Linked DNA regions of Coturnix japonica. The protein of the gene in region 2 binds, or shares a complex with, the protein of the main gene of each other region. Links are inferred from orthologs where the notes say so. Each region holds a gene or a part of one and is shown on either strand. Other genes may lie near its edges. The genes, in order: SNRPD1, ARMC7, spliceosome-associated protein CWC27 homolog, SF3B5, EFTUD2, SNIP1 and RBMX2.

Region 1 (4,207 bases), on a different chromosome or scaffold from region 2:
CCAAATAATTAAGCATAAATTACAGGAGAAATGGCAAGCAGTTGCTTTAGAGCACGATTACCTTTAACTTATTTCTGGAAAGACACACTGATTAACACTGCTGGGCAAAACTTTTACTGCCTGAAGACACAAACTTTGTGGAGTTTACTGGATATTAATTGTTAACGGCGCAGAACAAAACCAGAAGCATTCCCTATTCTGTTAGGCTTTAAGGGCTTTATCCACAGGAACACAGCCTCAGCTCCCTCTGCATTCTGAAGCCCCTTCAATTCGGTTCTCCAGCAGATTGTTTGTATCCACTGCCAAGTGAGATTTCAGTCCAGCACCGCTCCTGAGGCTGCTCTATATTTTCTTATTAGGCTAAATACAAAGTTACACACAGAAACCAGGGAAACAGAGCAGACATTTTGAAAAGAGAAACTGTGCATCCCATTGGTGCTGCCTCTGAGAATGCCATAGGTTAAGATTTACTCACACTTAAAGACGTTTACACTTTAAAACAGATGCATGAGAAGCTGTGTAAATAACTTCTCATGAAAGGAGACTACAGACACAATGAAGGTACACAAGGCAGAGTTCGGTACAAACCCTCAGAGATGAAAGCAATACAGAAATTAAGATTTCCAATCACATGCCTTCAGAGCGAGAGCACGAAAACACAAAGTAAAACAAGCAGAGACTGGGAAATCATGCACTCACCTGCTTCTCTTTTCTTGGACTTGACTTTTGGTTCAACATCTACTAGCAAGGTGTCCAGGGGCAAACTGTCTGGTAGGATGAAGTATCGGATGTTATTCCCCCGAATGCTCAATGTCTCCAGCTGTACAGGCTCCCTGTTCTTCAGCGTCATTTTCACAGCCTTGAGATGAGTATTCATACTGACATCCACTCCTGAAATAACACAAGGCTGATTTCAGGGGTGGGAACACACAGGATGACTCCTCTTTGGCTATTATTAACTGTGCACGTGCTTCAAGACTTTGCTAACACACGCTTCTGGATCTGTGCCATTTGTTAATTAAGCCTCTTAAGTGGAAGAAGAAACTACATCTTTTTTTCCTCTATTAATTATGCTGATTTATCAGCTGCTGCCCTCAACACTGATATATTTCCAAAGGAAGAGCCACTTACCACCAGCTGTAGGGATCTGTTCCTAGGTCTTAAGTCATAGCAACACTAAACACTTAAAATGATTCCTCCGGACAACAAATAAACTGCCACTTACTACAAAAGCATAATATTTGTCTTTTTTACTCCTTTCAAAAGAAAGAAAACGAACTTTTGAGTAGAAAAATAACACTGCGTTTCCTTCTAAGTACAACCATGATCTTCTGATCAAACACATCTAACATCAGCATCAGAAGCACCAACTGCAGGTGGCACCGTGGCTGCAACAGGCTTCGTACACCCATGTACAGGGATGACTGTCATTTTAGAACCATGGATGGCACTGCAGGGTTTTACAGGTTCTTAGCACAGCATGAGAGAGACTTTGCTCAACAGCGAAGGCTGTGAGAGTACAAGGGTAGGAGGCACAGAGTGCTGCCACCACAGCCAGCTTCTAACAAAATGGACGGATCTGGCTGCAAAATAACGTGCTTTTAACCCTTACATCTCAGTAGATTGTAACCATGTTCAGCATTTACCATTTATCTGTGCTACCGTTAGAAAAATATCTCTCTGCCAGTGACTCAGTGGTGACTTCTTGATGCAACTACAGTGTACTGCAGCTTTACCAATGAGATCACAGAACGGTTTAAGTTGGAAGGGACCTTCAAGTTCCAGCCCCAAAATGTTCTGAAACATAAGTGGATAGGCTGTATGACCACTGCCCTTTGATACAGCAGTGACACTGTCTCACAATGCCTGCATGCTGCTGCAGTAATTTCAGATTACCACACTTACACCAGCCACGCCAGCACCGGTTTCCTTTACCCCACACAGCTCAGATCAGCCTGGGAGGCTGCTGGCACACCGTACCTGTGATGGTGCCATGCACCTGCGTCCCGTTCTTCAGCTCGATGGTCACAGTCTCGTGACTCAGCTTCATCAGAAACCTAGGAATTAAGCACAGAGTGTTTGCTGTCACACTAAGCCTTATGTCCAACCACATGCTGATACGGGGAACCGATCGATGTACATCCTAACGCAAACGTTCTCAGCTGCCATGAACTGCACTGAAGGTGCTCCATGGGGCAAAGCCAAAGCCCCAAACGGCGCCCAATTGCCAGGGGCTGGAAACGGTGGCACCGGGCTCAAGCAGCGTCGGGACAACGCTTCCAGTCACAGGGTTTGTGTTTTGAGCGCCCTGCGTGAGTTGGGTTCGGGATCCCTCGTGCATCCCGTCCAACTCGGGCTGCTCTCTGACCACCAGCTAAGCAGCAGCCATTTTGGATCTCGGCACCGCGTGAAGGCGCTTCCACCCGGCTCCGCCCCCAACCCCCCGGGGTGGTTTCCCGGGCAGCCCCGCTCGCAGGCCCAGCCGCTCGCCGCAGAGCCCAGGCCGCAACGAGGCCCCGACAGGCCGGGCGGCCTGTGTGTGGGGAGGGGGAGGCGGCCTGCGCGGGCTCCCCGCCGCCTCTCTCCGCGATCCGCCTCCATCCGCTCACCTGACGAGCTTCATTGCGCCGGCGGGACGGCGCGGCGGCCGCGGGGCTTTCGGCGGGCAGCGGCGGCCGCCCCTGGGGGCACGAAAAGGCCTCGGCGGAAGCGCCGCGAGCGCGGGCGGACAGGAACGCGGCCTCCAACGAGCGCACCGAGCCCCGAGAGATTGAGCGGCCGCCGCCGGCTGCGATCAATGGGCGGAAGCGGCGCGGCGGAAGGGGCGGGACGCAGCGCGACTGCGCGGGGCTGAGGGCGGGCGGGCACTGAGGGGATGCGCTGCCGCCATTTTGGAATGGTGGGCTCGGGATTATACGTATCTAAGCACTGTAGCTGTGTGCAAATAGTCTAGTCCGCACCAGCGATGCTTCTACGTTAAGCAGTTGATAAGGAGCTCAGGCACACAAACGCAGCGGCCAGGATCTAGAAAAATCAGACCTTTTATTATCATTGATGAGTACACTGTTGTGATTTCTGCAATACAGACTCTTTTTGTAAAGCACTGAGATCTGGCTGCCCTCCAGCTCTGAGAACCCACGTTAACCCACGTCTCTCCCTCCATCCCTACACACACACCACAGCTCTTCTTTTCCACATGAAATCTGTTATTTTATGTTTTGCTTTAAACAAACCGCAAAGAACCAAGTTTGAGAGGGCAGCTGCCCGAGAGCCGTAAGAACCATTACATACTGAGTTTATGGTGTTCCTGCACTTTGAGTCTATGACAGAGGTGACACTGGTAAATGAAGTCAGAGAGGAGTTTCCAGTTAACCACCAATTGGTATTCCCAGCACAGCATCGAGAAGCAGACAGAGGCATGGTGAGTACTGATGTTTATGTGCAGGTTATGCTCACATAGAACCAGAAGCCTCCAGCAACATTCAAGGTTAAAATGAACAGATAACTGCAAAAGTCTGTACACAGTTTCAGTCACAACACAGTGAAACACTGGAGTATCAGTGCTTTGTGTTCTAACCTCAGTAACAACAACTGTGCTAGCTCTAAGATTCTACACGTTTCTCCCCCCATTTACATTTTATAACTGCAATCTGAATATACAGCTGTACTTACAGGAAATATTAAACAATGTGCAGCGCCTTAAGCAAGTTTCACGGCTGGTTTTGAACAAACCATATAAAATAAGTGACAAAATAGTTTAAAATTGGTCCTCAAGTAGGATTACTTGTTTTTTATACAGCTTGGAAGCACTAAATTTAAAGACACACATTTATTGTTAACCAGCACATGTTATTTTGTAGCTTTTTAAAGAAAAAAACCTTTCCTTTTAAAGTGTGTTACATCATGCATGAAAAGCAAGAAGCTGCTCCCAAGTGCAACATGGCATTAGGGTGACACCTCCTCCTCTGATCCATACTCCTTTTTTTTGTGAGTTATTCCAACAACATCAAGAACAGAAGCAGCTGACTAGCAAAAACAATACCAAATTCACCTTTGCATTGCAACCATTCTTAAAGTGATGGAGAACTTTGGGCCTTTAGCATAAGGAAGGTTTGATAAACCCTGCAAGGAGTTTTACATTCTTTGATTTCATTTACATCCATTGAAAGAAAAGAAAAAAAAACCCAAACCTGTATTTTCAAGAGCT
Region 2 (3,945 bases):
GACAGTGGAATAACCCCGGACTTAATGACTGACAAACACTAATGCTGCAGCCAGGTTACAAACCTCTGACAGCCAGCAGAGCAACAGGAAATGTCAGGAGACAAATAACCCTCACCCAGTCCCCTCACACTCTTTCCTGCTCCCTCTGTCATTAAATGTATCGTTAACTTTGCGAGCTAAACATATTTTGCAACAAGCACCTTTTCCTACTGCTATGAAACATTCACCAGGAAGTTCATTTGAAATATTGCAAAACTGTGAACCTTATAAGACTCAGATAGTCTGCCAGGGTAAATCTTGGAAAACTTTAATTAAAAACAAAACAAACAACAAACAAACCCAAAAGGTCACGGCAAACTTACGTACTCTAAAACACCTCAGAACTGCAAAATCACTCAAATGAAGAGTTTGGCAAAATTTGCAGACCCAGTCAGTAACTGCAAGAAAAGAAACACACCCACCAGAACCTGAAATTGACCAAATTCTAACTCTGTTGAGATATCAATGGGCACCACTGTCATTAGACTACCCCTAAGGCTGTTAATACCACAGCTATGCTCAGGCAGCCTGTGCAACATGGACAAAATATGGCCCACATCACCCGCACAAACAGCCTGAGCCAGCACTGCTGCCAAGAGATGGTTGTGTACGACCAGGAAAACTTCCTGCAGCATTGCAGCACACGGTGATGATCAGATGCACTCAGTCATGTAAGCAGCACGAGCACAGCCTGCAGCCCTTACAGAACATCTCTGCAGACCACAGACCTGGGAATGTTACCAAACTCTATGGGACAGCTCAAATTAAATGCACAATGTTCCTCACATCCGTTAACCAGCCTGGATTAGACTCAAAACAAGATAGAATCTAGAAGCAGCAGAGCACGCAGCTCGCAGTGAGGTGAGCAGCAGCGCTGCAGTGTGACCCGCAGGGTGCAGCTCTCGGGGATGCACCACCCGACCAGCACGGGCTGTTCCTAAACGCTGCTCGCAGTGAAATCACTGCAGGGGACAAAGTTCCCATTGGTTTTGTGCTTGCAAAATCCTACTGACTGCCCACACACACACACGGTACCTGGGAACTCAGCGCTGCATTTTCCTCCTCCAATGCAACGCGCTCCTCCCCTTATTGCTCAGTCCCACTGTCCTCAAACACTTCTGTCGGTTTGCTTCTCCTTGTTTGCTTTCTCTTCTCTGCCCTTCTCACACCAGCCCCGCTCTGGTCCATATTAGTAATGACAGATGTCGCTTCAAGTGCACTAACACAGTTACAGGCACGAGAAGCACACGCGGGGGTGTAAATTCTGAGGCCTGGGGGGCAAGCAACCAGGTGGCAGGGAAAGGTGAAGAACTGTGCAGAACAAAGGGGGGAAACGATAAAAACACGTGTTTGCCAGATACAGAGTGCAGCAGTGATATGTGCCTTCACTTATTGACGCACATGAGCTGCCCACAGCCCGCCCCGCACGCGGAGCGCAGCCAGCAGCCGCACCGCCCACAACATGGCGGCCGGGGAGTAACGCCCACAACATGGCGGCCGCCGGTGTCCGGAGCGCCCCGTTGTGCCCCGTGCCGGCGGCGCGGTCCAGCTGATCGGCTGGTTCTGGTTCTCAGCTCGGGATGGAGCTGGGCAGGTTGGAGTACCTGCAGGCCCTCGTCACGGAGTTCCAGGTGACAGACAGCCCAGGTAACCCCGCGTACAAAAGCGAAATCTCCATCTACCACAGCCCCCCTTGCCCCGTTTGACGCGTTGCTTCCCCGGCAGAGGCCAGGCGGCAGGTGCTGGCCAACCTGGCCAACTTCGCCTACGACCCCAAGAACTACGAGTATCTGCGGCAGCTCCAGGTGCTGGACCTGTTCCTCGACATGCTGACGGAGGACGACGAGACCCTGGTGGAATTCGCTATGGGTGAGCACAGCGCTGGGTGCGCCCCGATGCTTTCCCTGTTTCTCTAAAACACAGGTAACAAACCGGGGAAAATGAAAATAAACGCTGCAGCCACACGGCGCCATAAATGCCATCACTGCACTGAGATGGACAGGAGAAAATAAAAGGCAACGTAGGGCAATTAAAAACCCATCATTTAATTCCTGGTACCTTGAAGACCGATTGCCCCCTTACCACACAGGGAAACTGTCTGTGCATGTTGCCTTAAGAAAAGTAGTAAAGATGGAGTGTCCGTCTGCGGACAACTCAGTGCCGGCACCACACAGGTCAGGGCCCAACTGCTGGTACCAACAGACGGAACGTGCTCCAGCTGCTGCCATTCATTCCCAGATGAGGTGCCCTTCAGAGCATGGAGTGTGTCCGGATGAGGCTGCAGAAAGAATCTGTCTTGCATGTGTCAGATGCTTTTTTCGCTATTTCAGGTGGTCTTTGCAACCTGTGCTTGGATAAAACTAACAAAGACTATATCCTGGAGGCCAATGGGGTAGAGCCCATAATAAACTGCCTCTCCAGCTCCAACGAAGAGACAGTCATGTCAGCAGTCACAGCCCTGATGTATCTGACAACGCCGCAGTCGTGCCAGCAGACCACAGCTCTCCCGGTGGTGGAATGCATGCTTCGCTTCTCCCTGTCGGCCAGCAGAAGGCTGAGCAATCTGGCCACGATCTTCCTGGAGGATTATTGCACGCCCCTGCAGGTGGAAGAGGCCAGGAACCTGAGCAAACACACAGCGGTGGGGATTCCTCTCCCGAAGGATTGAAGCTGTCAGAGCAGCTTGGAGCTGCTGCGAGGAGCACCCCCTGTTTGCTCAGGTCTGCACCTAATGCTGAGTAGGTCAAGAGTGTGATGAGAACAGTAAAGCAGGAAATCAGACTAGCATTGGATTTTAGTTAGTATTGAAAAGGACCATACAGCACTATAACAGGCCAAGAACGTGGCTGAAAATGGAAGCAAATATTTTAAATAAAAAAGGTGATGGCTGCTGTGCAGCTCTGAACCAGCTTACAGGTATAACCCTTATAGCAGTTACTTTCTCTGCTCGGGTTATTGTTCAGCTTGTATCACTTCCAGTTCCTGGCTGATTTTGCCACAGCTTTCCAGTGTCAACTCAGATGACTTTGAAATGACCCAAACTTCATCCCTCCTGCAGAAGAAATGCGTTTCCCTGCCCTGGTAATTTGCAATCCTATTACATACCTTTGGTACTATACATACTGTCTTATCATCCTGCCCTAGAACAGGTGATAGCTATCCCATAGGTCAGGAAGCAGAAAGCTGTATTTCCCTCATTACCACTGGTGAGAAAGGTGCAGGTAGGAAAAGGGTTTATGGCATTCAGGTTCACAAGAAAAGCCTTTTCTTAATAAAACATTAACGGAGCTGTTGTGTAAACAGTTCTGTGTAAGCTCGTAAATGTTCCTGTACAGCTCTTGCAGCGCAGCCTCTGCTGCTCCCACTAATGCACGTGGGCTGGGAGTTGGAGCCACTTTGCTCTCCTTTTATGATCAGCCAATCGTGCAAAAGGTAACCTGGAGCCAGGGCGGCAAACTGCCCAAAGGCATAGAACGGGGTGGCCCTTTACCACGGTGCTTCTGAAAGGCTGCGAGTTCCAGAGTTCTGCTTTCTCCCCCTCCACTCAGCTCAAAACACGCCATAGTGAGCTTACACCACAGCTGGCTGTTTGTCTTTATAGTTATTCTTCATAACATCACTGCGGCTCCGGCCGCACCAGGACGAGGCACCGTGAGGTGAACCCCGCAACCCCCGCATGAAGCCGAGCGGCCCCTGGCGGCACCACGGCCCCGAGTGGAACCTCCGGCCACAAGCGGGTGGAACTGCCGGCCTGGCCTTAGTGCGGGGCCAGGCGGCTCCGCTGTGCGCTGCGGGAACCTTCATCGGACGGCTGGGCGCGCTCCAACTGCACTCAGTGTTTAGGAGCTGTAGCCTGCTCCGCTGCTCGCTTCTTTCATAAAGCAGATGTTGGACACTTCACACGGA
Region 3 (3,410 bases), on a different chromosome or scaffold from region 2:
TGCCCCTGCTATACTTAAAAAAAGGCCACTACTCTAAACAATGAAACTTGATAACCGGCTGATTATCTCATCAAAGGCAATGTTACTAGCACCTTCTTTGTATCAAACAACCTAGGCTTTTAATTTACATGCCACAGGATGCCTGGTCATTTGGAAAACAACAGATTCTAGAAACTGGTGTAACCTGTAGTACTACACAGTACTCCCAGGGTTACCACTCTCAATCACTAAGAATGTATCCAATAAATCTCACTTAAAAGTCAAGATACTCCATTTGGCTATAATACTACTACAATAACCACAAACACAACTCGCACAACTTGCACAGGAAGAGACAGCAGCTCACAGACTGCTTACACAATTATCTATGAAATGTGAAGAAGTATAATGCAAGCACTCCTAATAGTATGCTCAAGCTTTATGTCAACCTCATACTGAGATCCTGCAACTACATGTTACACAAGTTTGGATCTAGTAGCCATTCCTGCAAAACCCAACAAGTAGTTAAGCAGATTGGTTGGCAGGCCATTGAACACATGCAAATCTTAGAATCATTAAGGTTGGAAAGAACACTAAGATCATCTAGTCCAACCATCAGCTCATGCCTGTGATCACTCTAGACCATGTCCCTCAGTGCAACATCTACCTTTTTCCTGAGAACCTCCTGGGATGGTGACTCACCTGTTCTCCTGGGCAGCCTGTTACATCACCACTTCTTCAGAAAATAAATTTTACATAATACCCACCCTGAACCTCACCTGGTATAACTTAAAGCCATTATTTCTCATCCTATCACAAGTTCCCTGAGAAAAGTGGCCAAATGCCACTTCGCCACAGTTCCAGATAGTTGTAGTGAGTTGTAAGGTCCCCCCTAAGACTCCTCTTCCACAAACTAATTCCAGTTTTCTCAGTTGCTCCTCATAAAACCCATGCTTTAAACACCTCACCAGCTTTGTTGCCATTCTCTGGACACGCTCCAAGGTCTTAATGTCTTTCCTGTAGAGAGGGGTGCAAAACTGAACACTGTATCCATGATGTATGGCAACGTCAATGCTGTATAGAGCACATGCAGAACACAATGTCTTTTGCTATTGTAAAGATGTTTGGCTTCCATGTACTTAACAACCCTTTTTCAGAAAAAAGCTTTCCTTGGATATCTCCTTTATTTCTGACCCCTCCTTTCCATCCTACAATAAGGATATTTAACACTGATCTTTTTTTGTCTGGTCCAGAGGTTTTCTCTCCCTCTTTTACCAATAACTAGATTCAAGTCTAAACTATCAAATGAAGCTTAGAACTGAGAAACCAACAGGCAGTTTCATCTTTTATGGTTGAGGGAGGCTGATAAATTTGATGCAGTACTAAAAAAAAAAAAGCAGTAAGTGCAAAACTGGAATTGAACAGCAAATAACTGTAAGGTGAAGGAGAAAAATAATGCATGATACTTACCTGCGACTGGTGGTTTTCTTTTCCATCTTAGTCTCTTGCTCTTGAAGGGGAGGTTTAACAGTTTCACTTGTATCAATTTTCAACTTTTTTGCAATGCGTTCTTTCATTTGAAATCTCTCATTGCTAGCAGCTTCACCTTCTACGCTGTCAACATCTTCATCATTTTCATCTTCCTCCTTTATTGATAGGATATGAAAAAAATTCCTTAGGTTTTTTTTCTGCTTTTTAACTACAGAGTTTTGAATATGGAAACAACAACTCACAAAAACAATCCTTTACCACAACAGACAAAGAAACTAACAAGCAAAATCCACAATTATTACAATTACTTCAAAGAAAAATTTCAAGAATGTTTTTGTATCACTTAAAAAATAAAATGAAAACAGTCAGACTTTAAGCCCTTAAAGGTATGCAGAAGGTCTCATGACAATATGTTAATAGTTTTATTATTGTTCATGGAGCCAAAAGCTGTTCAAGGCAATATACTAAACACTTAATTAATCTTCCCTTAAAAGAAAACCAGAAACTCAGAAAGCCAACTGTATCTTAGGCTGCATCAACATAAGGGTGGCCAGATAGAAGAGGGAGGTGACTGTCCCCCTTTCACTCTGCCCTCATGACATCCCACCTGCCATAGGCACAGATACAGATTGGGCAGAAAACAGCTTGAAAGCAGCTCTCTGGAAAAGGACTTGTGGGTGTTGGTTGATGAAATACTCAACATGAGCCAGAAATGTGCTCTTGCAGCCTGTTATGGTTTTGTAATTTTTGCTATTGGGATTCCACATCATGTGGCACACAGAGAAGAACTAGAAGAACTACACGTCCCAGAGGACCTCAAGGTCAGAGAGGGAAACGTCACAGAAGGGACACAGGCTCTCTCCCTCACTGACTGGCAGTGGATGTGGGCATGCTTCCAAGCCGTGGAGCCTTCAATCTCAAAGTAGGCTCCTCGTTCTTTGGAAAACTCTCTTTGTCTCTTATTTTACTTAATTTATTAGCCAGAATTTCAATTGGATTGTATTATATTGTGTTATCTTGCTTTCCAATATCACAGTAAAATAAGTTTTCCTCCTTAGATCATTGCTGATGCTCCATCTATTTCCTTGAGCCAAGCACCCATCTCCCTACCCCTTTCCCTTTTCACTTCCAATTTTTCAGGGGCCAGGGGTCCCACGGGACTGCAGCCCCCCCGCCATGGACATAGATTGATCTAGATAACTCCATGACAAGCCCAGAAGGCCAATGGTATCCTGCACTACGTCAAGAGAACAGGGACCAGCAGGTCGAGGGAGGTGATTCTGCCCCTCTGCTCTTGTGAGATCCCACCTGAAGTACTGTGTCCAGTTCTGAGGTCCCCAACACAAGGACATGGAGCTGTTGGAGTGGGTCCAGAGGAAGGCCACAAAGATCATCAGAAGGCTGAAGCACCTCCTTTCTAAGGACAGCTGAGGGAGTTTGGAGCTCTTCAGCCTGGAGTAGAGAAGGCCCTGAGGAAACATTATAACAGCCTTCCAGCTCCTGAAGTGGTCCTAAGGGAAAGCTGGAAAGGGATTTTTTATAAGGCATGTAGTGACAGGATGGAGGGAAATGGCTTCAAACAGGAAGAAGGCAGATTTGGACTAGATATTAAGAAGCGACTCTTTACTGTAAGGGTAGTAAGACACTGGAACAGCTGCCCAGACAAATTGTGAACACCCCCTCCCTGAAAGCATTTAAAGCCAGGCTGGATGGGGCTCTGAGCAGCCTGTTCTAGAGGGAGGTGTCCCTGCCTATAGCAGGAAGTTAGAATGAGATGACCTTAAAGGCCCTGTCCAAGCCAAACCATTCTATGATTCTATTAAATGACCAGACTTGCTGTGTCAGAATATAACATGACAGCCAATCAGCAGAGAATCAAAGCTTAAGCAAAAATGTGATCATGCACCTGGCTTGAACAAAGGCAGAACTTGAGCTTACGT
Region 4 (2,529 bases), on a different chromosome or scaffold from region 2:
ATTTAGGAAAATGAGATGGAGATCACAGTGGAAAGCCAAATTTCTCAGCCAAAACTCAGACTTCTCCCTGAAAGCAGCCTTGCTCATATAATAGAGATGGCCTGGAGGAAGGAGGCGTTCAGCTCTGCCCATGTGCCTTACACTTGTTGCTCACATTGTTTACAATGGCTTGCAAACAGCACTAGTCCCCACATATGTAGCAGGTTACATTTGATTCAGGATCATTTCATCTTTGCCCTCATTGTAGTACATGCAACAACAAAATCTATTCCTGAGTTCTTCAGATGGATATTATGGCTTGAATGTGACCTCAGGAGTGCATGCACTTGTTCTTACTGCAGCATCTTCAGCAGCTTAGATTATAAGGCTTGGTAAAGAGTATGAGGCGTTTATTGCTCAGAAATTCTGAGGTCACCAACTTCAAAAAAGCCACTGGTAAACTCACATACAACCTTAGCCAGGCTTTACTTTGACATTTTCCATTAGGAATAAAACTTCCCCCAAACATCCAACCTAAATCTTCCCTCTTTTAACTTAAAACCATTTCCCCGTGTCCTGCTATTGTTGATTACCACACAACACGTTAGAAACAGACAGCGGATTTTATTTCCCATTAAAAAAAAACCACAAAGGGCGAACAGCCGTGCAACTGAGCGTAACGAAAGTGTCCAAGAGAGGGCGTTACACAGAGCTTCCTTCTCCCTGCAGCTCCCTTCGGTGGACACGAGGATCGGGGCGGCTCCCACCATCTCCCCGCGGCGTGTGGAGTCACAGCCAGCCCGGAGCCGGTGTGCAGGGCAACGGGTTAGGATTCGTCGGGCTTGTCGGCGGGCGGCCCGCACGGCTGCAGCATCTTCTCCATCAGGTTGAAGCGGACGCGAGCCTTGCTCTCATTCTCGGCGATGGCGAAGTAGTTGAGCAGGTCGAAGTGGCCCATGTAGGAGCAGTACGAGTCGCGGTGCTGGTTGACCAGCCACTCCCACTTGGTGGTATCGGCGTGGCCCGTCCCGATGTACTTGGACTGGAGGTGCTCCAACTGGCTGTGGATGGTGTAGCGGTCCGTCATGGCGCTGCCCCTGCAAGTCAAATGGCGGCAGGAAATGACGCCACAGGACGAAGGGATCCTTTTCCGCTCCCATAACGGAGAGCGGGGGGGATTTCGCCGACTATCCCGGATGAGGGGGGGGGGGGGGAAGAATATGCGGGTTTATAAAGGCATGTCGGGGGGTGTAGTCCTAGATTGGACATGTTGGACCATGGAGGTGTCCAAGAGCCAATTGAACGTGGCACTGAGGGACATAGTGATACAGCAGGGATGGGCTGATGGATGGACTTGACCTTAGTGGTCTTTTCCAACCTTAATGATTCTGTGGGCAAAGGCAAACTTTGCAGCTGGGCAGGCACAAGGGCTATGTTTAAGCTAGGATCAAATGTTACCATTGGAAATTATTTTTCTTTTGTTGATGTGGGTAATATTTCATGTGGATATTAAACTCATGAGCAGATAGAAAACTTATAATTAGTATCACCTATCAAACTTGGTCAACGTTGGGACTGAAATACATTCTATGATTCATCAAATAAGTAGTCTTTCTTGATCATAGAATAATCAGATATAAAACTTGTAAATTATAATTTGTATCACCTATCAAACTTGGTCAAAGTTGGGAATGAAATACATTCTATTATTCATCAAATAAGCAGTTTTTCTTCTCTAGTTTTAAAATCCATGTTAAATTTAATAAGTGTGGAACAATACATGCTGTCACATGGGAGTGCTGACTTTAATTATTTGCTTTTAAATAGGAAAGACACGTAGCCAGCAATTTTCTGAGAGGATGCTTCAAGCTATTTCTTTGTAAATGCTGTATAGTCCAAAGAAACCCACGGAAATCTAATCCAGATGATTCAAGGCCGCTTCTTCATAAATGAGCATCTTATGAAGCCAAGGCCATGCAAAGCAGTGTCAAAACAATAAAACAATATAATACCCTAAACTATCTATCTTCTAAGCAACAATCAGTCAAAGCCGAGTTTGAAACTGTCTGGAATTCAGGAGCCGGTCGAGAGTGAAGTGGCCGCTGGGTGTCAGAGCTGTACCGACTCCGTACTCATTGCACGGGAGCTGTGGGTTTCTGCTGCAAGATCAAAAGGAACAGAGTAGATGAGGCAGATGCACCAATAGAGGGTGGTAGTGACTGTCCCCTTCAAGGTATAGCCGTGTTTTCACGTTTCCTGTAGGCTCTTTGAATGAAAAAGACATAGCTGCCCCTCCAAAAAGGGGAAAGGATTACTTTAAACGATAACTGCAATAAAAGCCCACACAGGTGATGAAATGAAGGGTGTCATTTATATATATATATATACATATATATATATTTAAGAAATTCCTCTATTCTTAACCATATTCATTTATTCTGCAAGTACAATAGTGCAAAAAAATTGTTGGAAGTTGTGGTAGCCTAAAATGAATGAAGATCTCTTGTGAGAGAAATTAAATAAGGACAATAAATTAACGTATTTATGTGG
Region 5 (4,417 bases), on a different chromosome or scaffold from region 2:
CAAAGAGATAAACAGCAGCATAATCCCAGCCCTCCCACGGGGCGCATAGAAAAAGGGGGTACAGAAATACTTCCACATGACGGAGAGAAAAGCCAGGAATAACTGCAGAGCAACAGGAGCAGGAGAGAAGGCTGCTGCAGGGATTGGGGGGTCAAAAGAGCAGCAGTCAAAGTAAGGAACAGGGAGATCGTTACTGCTACCCAACGCACGTGGGATATTCACACTACCTTGCCGTGGTGAAGGTGCCCACACAGAGTCACATTCCGAATCAGCTCGGAGTTGTCCATCAGATCTGCCAGGAAACTGGAGGGATGAAGCACAAAAGACTGTTGGAGGCTTCTGCTGTGTCTAAGAAAAGTAGGCGCCGCTTTGCACCCAAGGGCCCCTCTGAATCCTCTCCAAACTTTCATGCCCTGCGGAGGAAGAATCCCACTCTGCAGATGGGGAGGACAAGAGAGTTGGAGTCCTGGACAGATGGCAGTGGGTGGGAGGAGACGGAGTTGGTAAAACTGCAAGAGATTAAATACTCCGAACGCCTTTCTTCTCTTCTAGACAGTATTAGAGCAACTCGGAGGAGGAAACGCTTCCGCTCCAATGGTGGCAGGTAGTCAACCAAACCACAGAGGTGGATAACAACACCCCACACACTTTTAAAAGGTAACCACAGGGTTCCACAGACTATTAATTCTAACTTGCAGGTCTTAATTCTGGTTTTCAGGTCTTAAAACACTGATGTTCCCAGGGACCCAAGGAACAGTCATAGAACTTAAATGGTTTTTAATCACCAACGAGATGGGACTGATGGGCTGGTCACTTCTGCAGAGATCCCAGCCAAAATGGAACTGAGAGCCTAAATTAGCAGCTACTCTTCAAAATAATGGGAAGCTATCAGCCAAGGATCGATTATTATGGATCTGCGGATAGTAAGTCCGGTCAAATAATCTCCTTCTTCAAAAACACTTTAATTTTCACTTATGAAGCAGGCTTTTTAGCATACAACATTTTGATTAAGAGCTTAAAAAACACAGAAATCGATAGGAATACAAATTAAATGCTTGCCTATTGGTCTTAAACCAAGGCTAAATGTGAAATCAATAGCGAGCTTGCAGGTTTCTGGTTAAGTCCCACTGGGACTTCTGCGTGGTCCCATCCAAACCATTGACATCAAGGAAGAGCAGGAGTTAGAATTAATTACTGATGGAGTAAACAGAGGACAAAGGGATCAGAAAAATAATAGGAAATGCACCGTGTTGCCTACGAGGATGGCAAAATAGCTGTAAAATAGCTGGCCTTGTGCTTTTCTTCCTCTTCTTTTTGGTTCAGACTCAGGGAGCCAGCTGTACTTGCTTATATTGCTGCTGTTAGTAAGAACAAACCCAGTGCCCCCCTGTAAGCTCCCGCCTCCATATAGATCACCCCTCTGCCTCCCCACCCTGCCTGTAAGCAATGAGAAGTGAGGAAATTGCAGCACAGATGGCCTGAAACAAAGCTTCAAACTCTGCACATCACTTACTCCATCTCATAGACAGTGACTGGTAACGTCTGTTCCATCAAAGAGAACTTCTTGGTTTTCACAGGTTTAATAATAGGCTCTGAAAACAAAAGAAAGAACAATAAAACACTGTTATGGGTGACCTGAACCCAGCACCTCCAAACATCGAATGGGGATTTTCCGCAGACAAAAAACACAGCTTTGAATTGACAGATTCTCTTCCTATGGGGGGACCAAATGAGATGATTTAAACCCCACTCACCAGTGAGAGGCTGCGTGTCCTCCTCCTGCACTATGGTCTCCACTTCAGGCCCATAGACCTCCTCAGCAGTGGGGTAATACTTCTTGTCCTCATGCAGCACCACCTCCATCCCAGGGTGGTCCTCATCGTGGTCCCCCATATCATCATCATCGTCGTCATCCTCGAGCTGCAACCAACACTCACACTGAGCTGCTGCCAGCACCAAAGTGTTTCATAAGCCTGAACTGTGGCTGGAGGTAAATCTTGGTGTCACACATCAGGAGGAACAGGGAACTGACAGCACAAAGGGCACGCTCCATCCTGCAGAGCCTTCCCTGCAATGGGAGCCAGGCACGGGGCAGGACATGCTTAACACCTGCTGTGTGTGGCTGCACAGCACAGAACAGCCCTGCCACAGCCACGCACTCACCTCATCCAGGTCCTTGGACTCCCGGCCCAACTCATCATCCTCGTCATCAGAGTCCAGCTCTGGCCCGATGTAGTTCCCAAACTCATCATACAGGTCAGTATCCATGCTGGGGGTGAAGAGATGGGGTCAGAGCCGGGAGAACCCCTGGAACTACAACCCAGCCTCAATCCCAGCCCCAGAACCTGACCAAGATCCAGATCCAGCCTCAGTCCCAGAGCCCAAACCGGCCCCATATCCAGAATGGGTCCCACATCCAGAACCTGCCTCACAGCCAGACCCGGCCCCACGGACAGACCCGGCCCCACGGACAGACCCGGCCCCACGGACAGAACCGGCCCCACGGACAGAACCGGCCCCACGGACAGAACCGGTCTCAATACCAGAACATGCCTCACAGAACCTGTCCCCGGTCCTAAGCCCTAAGCCCCAAGGCCCAGGCCCCGGCTCCAGCCCTTAGCCCTGATTTCTTGGCCTCACCCCCTATTCCCTCCCCTTACCCCATACCCCATACCCCATACCCCATACCCCATACCCCATACCCCTGCCCCATATCCCGCCCCACACCCCCCCACTCACTCACCCTCACGTTCCCCGCTCACTCTCCGCCGTTGGCGCCGCCGACAGCGCAGCGGAAGGACCCGGGCTGCCCATGGCGCCTGTCCCGGGCGGTTCGACAGCGGCGCTGCTGCCGGCGCGGTTCAGTCAGGCGCGCCGCGGGCAGCCTCGTTGGGTCCTGAAGGCGGCCCTGTCTCCATGACAACGGGAGTAGCGGGCGCGGCGGGCGGAGCTGGGCCCTGTCGCGATAGGAATTGAGGCTGCCGGGTCAGCGGGGCTCGTGGGCGGGGCCTGTCGCGATAGGAATGAGGGTGAGCGGCCCAGTGAGGGACCCAGCGGGGGATATCGCGACAGGAATCCCTCGGGGTGCTGTGTGTCGGCATGGCGGCCTATCGCGACATGAGGGGTCGGCTGCGAGCCATTATGGCAGCAGGGCCCACGCTGCCGCTGAGGTGATACCTCAGTGGGTATCGCTGTCACAACAGGAGCCTTATCCTTATCCGTATCCTTATCCGTATCCTTATCCTTATCCTTATCCTTATCCGTATCCCCACAGCTTGTCGCGCTCCTGTCGTGACTGTCGCGACAGCCGATGGACGCGGGCGGAGCTGTGGACATGGCGGCGCTGCGGGAGGAGCTGCGGGCCGCGCTGGAGGCCGACGAGAGGCACGAGAGGGAGAATAACGCCAAGCTCCGCGCCGTGAGGCAGCGCCTGGGGTCGTACCAGGAGTTCAGGTGGGAGCGGAGCCCCCCAGGTCTGTCAGACGCTGGGCCTTCCCGCAGGGCTCCTCCTGCTCTGCTGCTGGGCCTCCCCGGGGCAGGAGCCATCGCCTGCCCTGCCTTGGATGTCCCAGGGCTCCTGAATGGCAGCAGGAAGATCCTTGAGGGCAGGTGGTGCGGGACGCCCCCAGTGTCCTCCACCTCAGCCCCATCCCCTCACATCCACAGAGAGATCTGTAGATACATCCAGGACTTGACCAACACATGGCAGGCTCATCCCATGCTGGAGCATGTAGTGCTGGAAGCCTCATTCTGCCTTAATGTGGTCGTGCTGTCAGCTCTGAGTAAAGGGAAACCTTTAAAATGGCATTTATGGCATTGCTTGTCCGTGTAAAAGGACTCTGTGCCGCAGTTCTGTTGTTAGAATATGATCAAAAAACACATTCCTGCTCAGTACACAAGTACTCAGTACTCAAGCCTGCAATGTGGTGTGATATCAGCAGCCAGGAGCCATCCACAGGAGAGCAGAACAGCTTCTCTCCGTGGGTGCAGTTTCCCCACTCACGAGGGCCAGCAGAGCCCTGACCCCATTGGAAGATCTCGTTACTGGGAGGACTAACGAGCGACAGGCACAGACGTTCATCCCACGGGATGAGAAGAATGACATGAGCTGCTGAGTCCAGGCTGCTGCAATTAGTTACAGACGTCGGTGTAATGGGATGGCTGAGTAAGAAGGCCTATAAGAATGGAAGAGTTCTCCTGTGGAAGCCCCAAAGATATAAAATCTTACTTGTACCCCAGGAAAAACGCAGGAGAAAGAGGAGTCCTGCCAGTCCTTGGGCCCTGACTGCTGCAGGAACTGTTGGGTAGAAATGCCAATTCCATCACCCGTGTGTTTCACCTTGTGTCCTCTTGTTCCCTGCAGGGACATCGTGCTGGCATCACACCTGAGGCCTCTAGAGAAGAAGGACAAGATGGG
Region 6 (4,446 bases), on a different chromosome or scaffold from region 2:
TGCAGCTGCACGACGTCCAGCCGGGTGCTGGGAACACTGGACACCTCCTGCACCCACAGCCGGTTATCCTCCTCCCATGACCTGCACCGGAAAGCAGCAGCGATGGAGCTCGGCGGGGCGGTCCTGAGTTAAGGCTCTTGTTGTTCCCCCCTCCCCGGCTCACCGCGGCGGTAGGATGGCGTTCAGGATCTCCTGAGGTTCCTTCGTGGAGGCGGCGGAGGCGGCAGCAGTGCGAGGTCGGGACGGAGGGACAGGGCCTGATGGCGGGGAGGCCTGTGGGGTTCCCTTCAACGGTGAGGCCTGAAGGGAGAAAGCGGTGTGAGCAGGATGGGTGAGGTGTGAGGGCTCCCCCCGTCCCATTCAGAATCACAGAAACACAGAATTATCAAGGTTGGAAAAGACTTCACTAGGAGAGTGGTGAGGCCCTGGAACAGGCTGCCCAGGGAGGTTGTGGATGCCCCGTCCTTGGAGGTGTACAAGGCCAGGTTGGACGGGGCCATGGGCAACCTGATCTATGGGGTCTCTATGGGGATCTATGGGGTCTCTATGGGGGTCTATGGGGTCTCTATGAGGATCTATGGGGTCTCTATGGGGATCTATGGGGATCTATGGGGGATCTATGGGGTCTCTATGGGGTCTCCTGGGCAACCTGATCTAGTAAATGTGTATGTTTGGTGGCCCTGCTTGGCAGGGGGGTTGGAACTACATGATCCTTGAGGTCCCTTCCAACCCGGGTCATTCTGTGACCTAGAAGATCATCTAGTCCAACCATTCCCAATACTTCCCAGCTAAATCATATTCATCAACACAACATCCAGATGTTTCTTGAACACTCCCATGGTCAGTGACTCCACCACCTCTTTGGGCAGTGCATTATAATGCCTGACTACCCTTCCTGAGAAGCAATACTTCCTAATATCCAGCGTGACTCTCCCCTGACACAGCTTAAAACCATTCCCTCTACTTCTATCATGGATTAGAGGCTCACTACAACCTCCCTTCTAACTTCTAACTAAGGGAGTTATAGAGGGCTATAAGGTCTCCCCTGAGCCTCTTCTTCAGGCTGAACAACCCCATCTCCCTCAGCTTCTTCTTATAAGTCCCCATTATGCTCCAGACCCCTCACCAGCTTCATAACCCTTTTCTGAATGTATTCTCAATGTCTTTCTTGCAGTGAGGTGCCCAAAACTGAACACAGGGGGACAATTACCTCCCTGTTGCTGCTAGTAACACTGGTTTTGATACAATATAGGATTCCTTTGGCCTTCATGGGCCATAATATCGGTTCATATTCACTCACCTCTGGTGATCGCTTCTCAGTACGGCGACTCACCAGCATGGGCGGGTTATAACGCAGCAGCGAATCGGGCGGTGGGATCATGGCGGCTCCTCGGTCGCTATGGTTATAAACGCCGCTCCGTTGTTTGTTCTAAAGGCGCATGAGCGTTAGGTAAAGATGTAGTTCCGGGTGGTTGAGAGAGAGGTAACACGGATGTGAAAACGTAATTCCGGTTGTGGGGGGAGTCGGTAGCAAGATGGAGGCTGAGAGTGAGAGGAGGAGGAGGGAGAGAAGGAGGGGGGAGATGGCGGTGAAGGCCGAGAAGCGCAGCCCACGGAGCTGCGGGTCCCGTTCGGCTTATGGGAGCCAATCCCCCCCCATTGAGGAGCGACGGGGCAGGAGCAGCAGGTAGGAGGCCTCATAGGGCCTTATTACGGCCCTGTATCGTAACCCTGAGGTTCTGTGCATTTCTTGTGTACTTGATTTAAAGGTCGCCTAAAAGGAAGAGTAAATCCGGCCGGAGGAGCAAATCACCGCGGGGGAGGAGGAGCAGGAGTCCGCACCATGGAGGTGTGAGGGTAAAGCAGGTAAATGGCGTTGGGAGAGGCCAGGCCCCACAGATCCCCATAGAGACCCCACAGATCCCCACAGAGATCCCATAGACACCCCATAGAGCCCCATAGAGACCCACTGAACCCCATACAGACCCCATGCAGACCCCATAGAGCCCCACAGACAACCCATAGATCCCCAAAGACACCCCATAGATCATGTTGCCCATGGCCCCGTCCAACCTGGCCTTGAACACCTCCAAGGACGGGGCATCCACAACCTCCCTGTGCAGCCTGTTTCAGGGCCTAACCACTCTCCTAGTGAAGAACTTCCCCCTAACATCCAACCCAAATCTTCCCTCTTTTAACTTAAAACCATTTCCCCGTGTCCTGCTATTGTCAGCCCTTTCCAAGAGTTTACTCCCCTCCTGGGAGTAAGTTCCCTTCAGGTATTGAAAGGCTGCAATGAGGTCACCCCGCAACCTTCTCTTCTCTAGGCTGAACAAACCCAACTCCCTCAGCCTGTCCTCATAGGGGAGGTGCTCCAGCCCCCTGATCCCTCTAGAATAACTCTTAAGGAAGAGAGAGTCTTACAGTGTAACATCTCCTTGCTCTCTGCTTCGTGTTTTCCTGGAAAGAACTGAGTGTTTGTACCTTTTAGTGAGCCCAGCCCCTGTTATTCCTGTAAGAAAATGAGTATTTGTGCCTTTAAGTGAGCCCAGCCTGCAGGCTGACCCTGAAGGCTGATGTTATGATGCATTGCTCTCTGTCAGCCTTGCATTGTTGGGCCCAAGTTGTGGGAATTCACTTTGGAAGGAAATAAATAAATCTAGATATACACGTACCATGTTACAGTCTGTGTTTTTCATGTGTTTTCTGTCTTCTTCCTCAGGAACGAGACGATCATCCTCACAGAGGAAATGAAGAGAGAAAGCAGAGACACACGTCAGAGCAAGAACACAGACGAGATAGAAGCGGTGACAGAGACAGGCACAGAGATCACTCAGACAGGAGGAAAAAGGAGGAAAGACCTGGAGGTCGAGGCCATGAGAGAGAAAGAGATGTTCAGAACATCCGTGAGCAACAAGCAGAGAGGGAGTTCTATAACGAAAGAAGACGAGAGCATCGACAGAACAACGAGGGGAGCGGTGCTGAGCAGAATCCAGAACACAAACAATCTGATAACAAACCAAAAGATAAAGCTGTAAACAAAGAAAAACCAAGCTTTGAACTGTCTGGTGCCCTTCTGGAGGATACCAACACTTTCCGAGGCGTTGTGATTAAATACAGTGAGCCCCCAGAAGCTCGGATTCCAAAGAAACGATGGCGTCTCTATCCATTTAAAAACGATGAGTTCCTGCCTGTCATGTACATTCATAGGCAGAGTGCTTATCTCCTGGGCAGGCACCGCAGGATAGCAGATATCCCCATTGATCATCCCTCCTGCTCAAAGCAACACGCTGTGTTCCAATACCGGTCAGTATCGCTCTGTATCCCTCTGGTAGGTGGGGATTATTTGGTCGCTTGCGTGCAAAGGGAATCAAAGAACGTATTGGATGTGCACAGATTAGAAAATGCATGTTTGCTCAATGGTTTTAGATAGGTGGAATTTAGGTATGGATGTAACATATATGTAATTCCTTTTTGTTTAACCATAAGCAGCCTCGTGACTCTTAACATATATATAATTCCTTTTGGTTTAACCATATCTAGACTTTTAGTAAGAAACACAACACAACAGGATGAAATACAGAACTGCCTGTATATCTGAATTGGAGTTATTAGCAGGTGGGATTGGCAATAAAGAACGTTTAAAGGAGGGTTTTTCATTTGTTCCTTCCCAACAAAGGCTGCCGATCTCCTTTATAAACAGCAGGGTTGTGTGCTTCAGGAGGCAGAGCTGCTCTCTTAAGGAACAACCATCTGTTCTGCTTCAGGATTTACTATGTTATATGATCATAACTTTAAGGGGTGAAGCAGTCTGTCAGAATCTTGAGTATTTCCGTGCCCTGTCTAATTATTCTCATTGTACTTGCTCAGATCTTTGAAGTATGGTTAAGTATTTACAACAGTGGGGCTGATGTGTTGAAAAATCCATGTGTTATCATTGACTTGATGGGTTGTTTTTGTTTTCTAGGCTTGTGGAGCACACACGCGCTGATGGCACAGTTGGCCGCAGGGTAAAGCCGTATATCATTGATCTTGGTTCTGGCAATGGTACTTTTCTAAACAACCAGAGGATTGAGCCTCAACGTTACTACGAACTGAAAGAAAAGGATGTATTGAAGTTTGGCTTCAGCAGCAGGGAGTACGTCCTTCTCCATGAATCATCTGATAAATCAGAGGCCAACGCAAAGGACGATGATGAGGAAGAGGAGAAGGAGGAAGAGTCCGATAGTTAACAGACATGAAGGCAATTGGGGATGGGGGAGCAGGGGAGAGGAATCTTTTACAATAAAACATGCATTGGGATGGAGATGTTGGAGCATCAAAGCACTGGTGCTTCTTATTGCCTTAAAGTCCTTCTGTTGCTGACTGGTTCTTATGGTTTATTGTGGGGGACTCCACTGAATATTTGGCTTTGGTAGGTCTGTATAGTGGGAAATCTGACTTATT
Region 7 (4,164 bases), on a different chromosome or scaffold from region 2:
GTCTTCGTCAGGTCCACGGGGAACGTGCCTGCGGGGAGACCGGCCGTCAGCGCCCCGCCGATACCCGCCGGTACCCGCCGGTACCCGCCGATACCCGCCGATACCCGCCGGTACCCGCCGGTACCCGCCGATACCCGCCGATACCCGCCGGTACCCGCCGGTACCCGCCGATACCCGCCGATACCCGCCGGTACCCGCCGGTACCCGCCGATACCCGCCGGTACCCGCCGGTACCCGCCGCAGCTCACCGAACTCGGCCACGATGGAGGCGAGCCCGCCGTACACGAAGGGTTTCCAGTTCAGCGCGGACATGGCATGGCGGGGCGCGCCGCCGCGCCGGGCCGGACACTGCCTCAACTCCACCCGGAACCGGAAGCGCGGCGGAACGGGAAGCACTGCGCCCCCCAGCCGGGCGGACCCGGCAGCTCGGCCCGCAATTGGGATCCAGCGGCACCGCCCGAGAACGGCGGGGAGGAGACGGGAGAGCGCTGCAGGCACGGGACCGACCGGAACCACCCCGAGAGCAAAGCGCAGCTCAGATCCACTGCTGTGCGCTCCCCATTTCTGTGTCAGCTGCCATCAATGCTCAGTCCAAACAGCACAACCGGACACAAGCAGTGCTCCCAGTCATCTCCTCTGGTTAAAGGATCGATTTTTATTAAAAGGAGTTTAAAACAAAAAACGCCATGAACTGCGATGGCTCAGCAGCCTCTGATATCCATCACATAAACAAAGGAAGCAGGACGGGCTGGGGGCACAAAGCACCGTGCCCGCCTGCAAGCACCCACCGCCCCACTGCAGACAGGGACGCTCCCCCTGAACAACGTGGGCAGTTTCGGTGTCCGTATCCTGCTGCTCAGCACCCCACTGCCCACACTGTGCCGTGAGCCCCTCCACAACCGTCTGAGTGATGCCACTGCACAGAAGGGCCGAGCAAGGCAGCAGCAGAGCCCACATCACAGCCCACAGCACTGAGAGCAACCTGTCTGAGGAGTGAACCGGTCAGAGTGGTGTGTGTGAGACGAGACACAGCTGTGGTACCCTTAGGGCCATAGCAGGAGGCTTCAGACAGGCTCCCGGTGCAGCTCACAGAGCACAGCTGTGGCCCAGAAGGTGCTCACTCCAGGGCTCAGTGACGGCTGGAATCTCTGGTGGATCCACGCTCCCTGTGCTTGGAATGGGGCTCTCTGCTGCTGCTCTCCCGCCGGTGCCTGGATCTGCTTCCCTCAGAACACTCTTCTCGCCAGCTGCTGTGTCCCTCACCCTTCCTGCTGACCTCTCCTCTCTCTTCCCGTGAGCTGTTCTGCCCTCTGTGTTCCTGGGAGCTCTTTTCCCCTCTCCTCCCCGACGACCTTTGGTGTCTCTGCTCTTCCTCATCTCGCTGCGTCCTGCTCACGTGTTTCCTCTCAGACTCACTGCAGGACTGCTGACCCCCACCAGCAGCATATCGCTCGTAGCCAGGATCTTCCTTCTCCTTTTTAATCTTGATTCTCGGATGTGCCTCTTCGGCAGGTGCTGCTCTCTTTGCAGCCTGAGAGCTCTGCTTTTGCCGTTCATGTTTATTCTTCTCTTTATCTGAAACAAAAAGGTCATCCTTAGAGATGGACAGTCCTGCAAGCATCATCCCCACCAGTTCTGCTACAGAGCACCAGAGCTCTGTAGAGAAAGGCTTTATTGGAGCCTTTCTTCTCCCTGTCCCCCACTGTCCTGCCCCCTCCCCCTTGCAACATCCCTGCAGCCCAGCCCAACTCCTTTTCTCCAGGAAGAGTGCCACTATAACCTGCAAAATAAGGATCTCCAGAGGCAGGGGGTGAATGATCATAGATAAATACTGGCAGTGTGACGCAGATCACAGAGGATAAGCCTGGACATTCGGGTTGCATCTGTTTTCAAGAGGATCCCTATCCCTGCTGTACGCTGAGCTAAGAGTCCCTGTAGCCCACACAGATCCTCCCACCCAGGGCAAAGATGGGCAGAAATGCATTTCACCTTTTTGCTTTTGGGCTGGCGTGTCTTCATCCTCCAAGGAGGAATCTGACGACGTATGAGGTGGTGTTTTCACTCCGCAGCCCTTTGCATGGAGGGCTTTTGTGACATCATCTAAATCATCGGAGTCCTTGGGAGTCCGGTAGTTGGCCACGTGGTCCACTCGGATCGTCCTGCCTTTGATCTAGGACAGGAGTCAGGTAGTCAGCAAAGCGTGTGCTGTGGGGCCAGCAGCCGATGGAGCTTCTCTCTGATGTGCTCTGAGCGCTCCAGGAGCTGCTGCAGCCACACAGCTCCATCACTCACCTTGATCCCATTGAAGTTATCAACAGCAAGCACGGTGCTCCTCTGATCCTCATAGCACAAAAAGCAAAACCCTTTGGACTTCCCAGTCTTCTTATCCCGCACCAGATTAATGTTCACCACCTCCCCGTACCTGGAACACACCATCAGCAGCCACAGAGCAGGGCTGGAGGGGCACAGCAAGATGGGGATGGAGCAGGTAGGAACTTACTGCGAGAACACACAGATGACGTCCCCCTCTGTCAGCTGGTAGGGCAGCCCGCCTGCGGGGGGAGACAGGGCAGCGATGGAGGCCCAGCACGGAGCCCAGCACGGAGCCCAGCATGGAGCCCAGCACGGAGCCCAGCACAGGGCCTACCACAGCCCTGCTCTCTCCTCCCTCCCCGTCCCCCCATCGCGGCCTACACGTACCGATGAAGACCCACGCGCTGTCCTTGTACTCGGCGTGCCACGACACCGCCTCGCTCACGCCCAGCTCCGCCTCCCGCGCGTTCAGCTCGTTGATCAGCTTCACTTTGGTCAGCGGGCTGGGGGCGATGCACTCCGTTAGCACCGTTAGCACCGGCCGGTCGCACACCCCCCCCTCACCCAGCCCCCATCCAAACCTACTTCATGGCGGCGGCGGCGCGCACTGCGCATGCGCCCCCCTTACCCCCCCGCCTCCGCCCCCGCCCCGGCCGCGCATGCGCGCCAAGCAAAGCAACGAGTCCGAGGGCTCCGCACAGCTTTATTGGTCGGCGCTCAGCACGGACACGCGCTTTTACCGTGGGCGTCACGTGACGGCTCTAGCTTCTGCGCCCGGCCCGGCCGCTTCTCCATGTCGCGATAGAGCAGCGACTTCTGCGCCTTGAGCCGGCAGGCCAGGCACATGAAGATGGACTCCACGTTCTGGCTCTCTTTAGGGTCCTTGGCCGAGGTTTCGAACAACAGCATGTTGTGAGCGTCGGCGAATTTGAGAGCCATGCCGGACGGCACCTGGATCAGGTCCTTCAAGTCACACTTGTTCCCCACCAGCACTTTGGGGACCAGGGGGGACACGGCGTGAACGTTGCACTCCTCGATCCACATCTTGAGGTTGGTGAAGGACGCCATCTTGGTGACGTCGTACACGAAGACCACGGCGTGCACGTTGCGGTAGTAGTGCTCCACCATGCTCTTCCGGAACCGCTCCTGCCCGGCCGTGTCCCACACCTGCACCTATGGGGCACAACACGGCGTGAGCAGCCATTGCTGCTGCAGGATGCTGTGCTGCTGCTCTGCTCATTGCTGTGCTACAGGGGTGAAAGGCCCCAGCCCGGTGACTTACCTGCCCCATGTTGGTGTACCCAGCCATCATCCCTGTCAAACTGCACACAGCACTGCTCGTGTCAGAACAGACTAACACACCAACCCACCTAATGCTGTGCTGTATGAGGACACTGAAATGATGCTCTGTATCCACAAAGGAGGCAGGGCAAAGAGAGCGGCGTTCCTGCATGGAGCTCTGTCTGGGGGAGGAACCAGGCAAACAATAAGGATTAAAGAGCCGAGAGCCATGGAGACAGGGCAGTGTGCAGCTCCAGCCTGATCAGGGAGAGTAAATGGAAGGTGCCCTCTGCAGACAGATGGGAGTCTCATGTTTGCAGGCTTAGGCCCTTCTGGAGGCCTTCAGCCATTCCAGTGTATGCTGGAGGGGCAACACAGCACAGCTTAAAGCGTGAGATTCCAACTTCAAAACTCAAGTGATAGAAGAGCCAGCGAGGGAAGCTGCTACGCTGGGCCAGCTTCAGCAGGGCAGCTGTGAAGGTAAAGCCAACTCATTAACCAAGAGGTGGCTCTGAAAGAGTCCTGTGGGTCAAGGACCTATAGGAAAATGGGACCAAAGAAAGCTACCCA

The links.
Region 1: ARMC7 (region 2) and SNRPD1 share a complex: the UniProt entries of both Homo sapiens proteins name them as parts of the minor spliceosome. The link is inferred for Coturnix japonica from reciprocal best matches to the Homo sapiens genes ARMC7 and SNRPD1.
Region 3: ARMC7 (region 2) and spliceosome-associated protein CWC27 homolog share a complex: the UniProt entries of both Homo sapiens proteins name them as parts of the minor spliceosome. The link is inferred for Coturnix japonica from reciprocal best matches to the Homo sapiens genes ARMC7 and CWC27.
Region 4: ARMC7 (region 2) and SF3B5 share a complex: the UniProt entries of both Homo sapiens proteins name them as parts of the minor spliceosome. The link is inferred for Coturnix japonica from reciprocal best matches to the Homo sapiens genes ARMC7 and SF3B5.
Region 5: ARMC7 (region 2) and EFTUD2 share a complex: the UniProt entries of both Homo sapiens proteins name them as parts of the minor spliceosome. The link is inferred for Coturnix japonica from reciprocal best matches to the Homo sapiens genes ARMC7 and EFTUD2.
Region 6: ARMC7 (region 2) and SNIP1 share a complex: the UniProt entries of both Homo sapiens proteins name them as parts of the minor spliceosome. The link is inferred for Coturnix japonica from reciprocal best matches to the Homo sapiens genes ARMC7 and SNIP1.
Region 7: ARMC7 (region 2) and RBMX2 share a complex: the UniProt entries of both Homo sapiens proteins name them as parts of the minor spliceosome. The link is inferred for Coturnix japonica from reciprocal best matches to the Homo sapiens genes ARMC7 and RBMX2.

Annotation. Positions count from the first base shown.
Region 1 is NC_029517.1:39,382,146-39,386,352, forward strand, and holds the start of SNRPD1 (small nuclear ribonucleoprotein Sm D1), read right to left. Parts: upstream 2,801-4,207; 5' UTR 2,624-2,800; coding exon 2,610-2,623; intron 2,058-2,609; coding exon 1,981-2,057; intron 892-1,980; coding exon 700-891; intron 1-699. UniProt on the Homo sapiens protein: Plays a role in pre-mRNA splicing as a core component of the spliceosomal U1, U2, U4 and U5 small nuclear ribonucleoproteins (snRNPs), the building blocks of the spliceosome.
Region 2 is NC_029533.1:9,330,559-9,334,503, forward strand, and holds ARMC7 (armadillo repeat-containing protein 7), read left to right. Parts: upstream 1-1,496; 5' UTR 1,497-1,619; coding exon 1,620-1,686; intron 1,687-1,764; coding exon 1,765-1,908; intron 1,909-2,369; coding exon 2,370-2,707; 3' UTR 2,708-3,339; downstream 3,340-3,945. UniProt on the Homo sapiens protein: As a component of the minor spliceosome, involved in the splicing of U12-type introns in pre-mRNAs.
Region 3 is NC_029547.1:21,428,487-21,431,896, reverse strand, and holds the end of spliceosome-associated protein CWC27 homolog, read right to left. Parts: intron 1,626-3,410; coding exon 1,450-1,625; intron 997-1,449; coding exon 732-996; 3' UTR 587-731; downstream 1-586. UniProt on the Homo sapiens protein: As part of the spliceosome, plays a role in pre-mRNA splicing. Probable inactive PPIase with no peptidyl-prolyl cis-trans isomerase activity. As a component of the minor spliceosome, involved in the splicing of U12-type introns in pre-mRNAs.
Region 4 is NC_029518.1:41,251,621-41,254,149, forward strand, and holds SF3B5 (splicing factor 3B subunit 5), read right to left. Parts: upstream 1,120-2,529; 5' UTR 1,067-1,119; coding exon 806-1,066; 3' UTR 584-805; downstream 1-583. UniProt on the Homo sapiens protein: Component of the 17S U2 SnRNP complex of the spliceosome, a large ribonucleoprotein complex that removes introns from transcribed pre-mRNAs.
Region 5 is NC_029542.1:776,069-780,485, forward strand, and holds the start of EFTUD2 (116 kDa U5 small nuclear ribonucleoprotein component), read right to left. Parts: upstream 2,882-4,417; 5' UTR 2,744-2,881; intron 2,270-2,743; 5' UTR 2,269-2,269; coding exon 2,164-2,268; intron 1,921-2,163; coding exon 1,755-1,920; intron 1,593-1,754; coding exon 1,514-1,592; intron 304-1,513; coding exon 228-303; intron 1-227. Other genes in the region: CCDC103 (coiled-coil domain-containing protein 103), read left to right, coding at 3,311-3,453, 4,364-4,417. UniProt on the Homo sapiens protein: Required for pre-mRNA splicing as component of the spliceosome, including pre-catalytic, catalytic and post-catalytic spliceosomal complexes. Component of the U5 snRNP and the U4/U6-U5 tri-snRNP complex, a building block of the spliceosome.
Region 6 is NC_029538.1:3,338,307-3,342,752, forward strand, and holds the start of SNIP1 (smad nuclear-interacting protein 1), read left to right. Parts: upstream 1-1,511; 5' UTR 1,512-1,535; coding exon 1,536-1,687; intron 1,688-1,769; coding exon 1,770-1,866; intron 1,867-2,722; coding exon 2,723-3,306; intron 3,307-3,967; coding exon 3,968-4,232; 3' UTR 4,233-4,446. Other genes in the region: DNALI1 (axonemal dynein light intermediate polypeptide 1), read right to left, coding at 1-81, 164-300, 1,301-1,381. UniProt on the Homo sapiens protein: Required for pre-mRNA splicing as component of the spliceosome. As a component of the minor spliceosome, involved in the splicing of U12-type introns in pre-mRNAs. Down-regulates NF-kappa-B signaling by competing with RELA for CREBBP/EP300 binding.
Region 7 is NC_029519.1:1,522,193-1,526,356, forward strand, and holds RBMX2 (RNA-binding motif protein, X-linked 2), read right to left. Parts: upstream 2,953-4,164; 5' UTR 2,904-2,952; coding exon 2,899-2,903; intron 2,817-2,898; coding exon 2,701-2,816; intron 2,553-2,700; coding exon 2,501-2,552; intron 2,423-2,500; coding exon 2,293-2,422; intron 2,171-2,292; coding exon 1,990-2,170; intron 1,576-1,989; coding exon 1,130-1,575; 3' UTR 622-1,129; downstream 1-621. Other genes in the region: SLC25A14 (brain mitochondrial carrier protein 1), read right to left, coding at 1-28, 249-312; RAB33A (ras-related protein Rab-33A), read right to left, coding at 3,031-3,486. UniProt on the Homo sapiens protein: Involved in pre-mRNA splicing as component of the activated spliceosome. As a component of the minor spliceosome, involved in the splicing of U12-type introns in pre-mRNAs.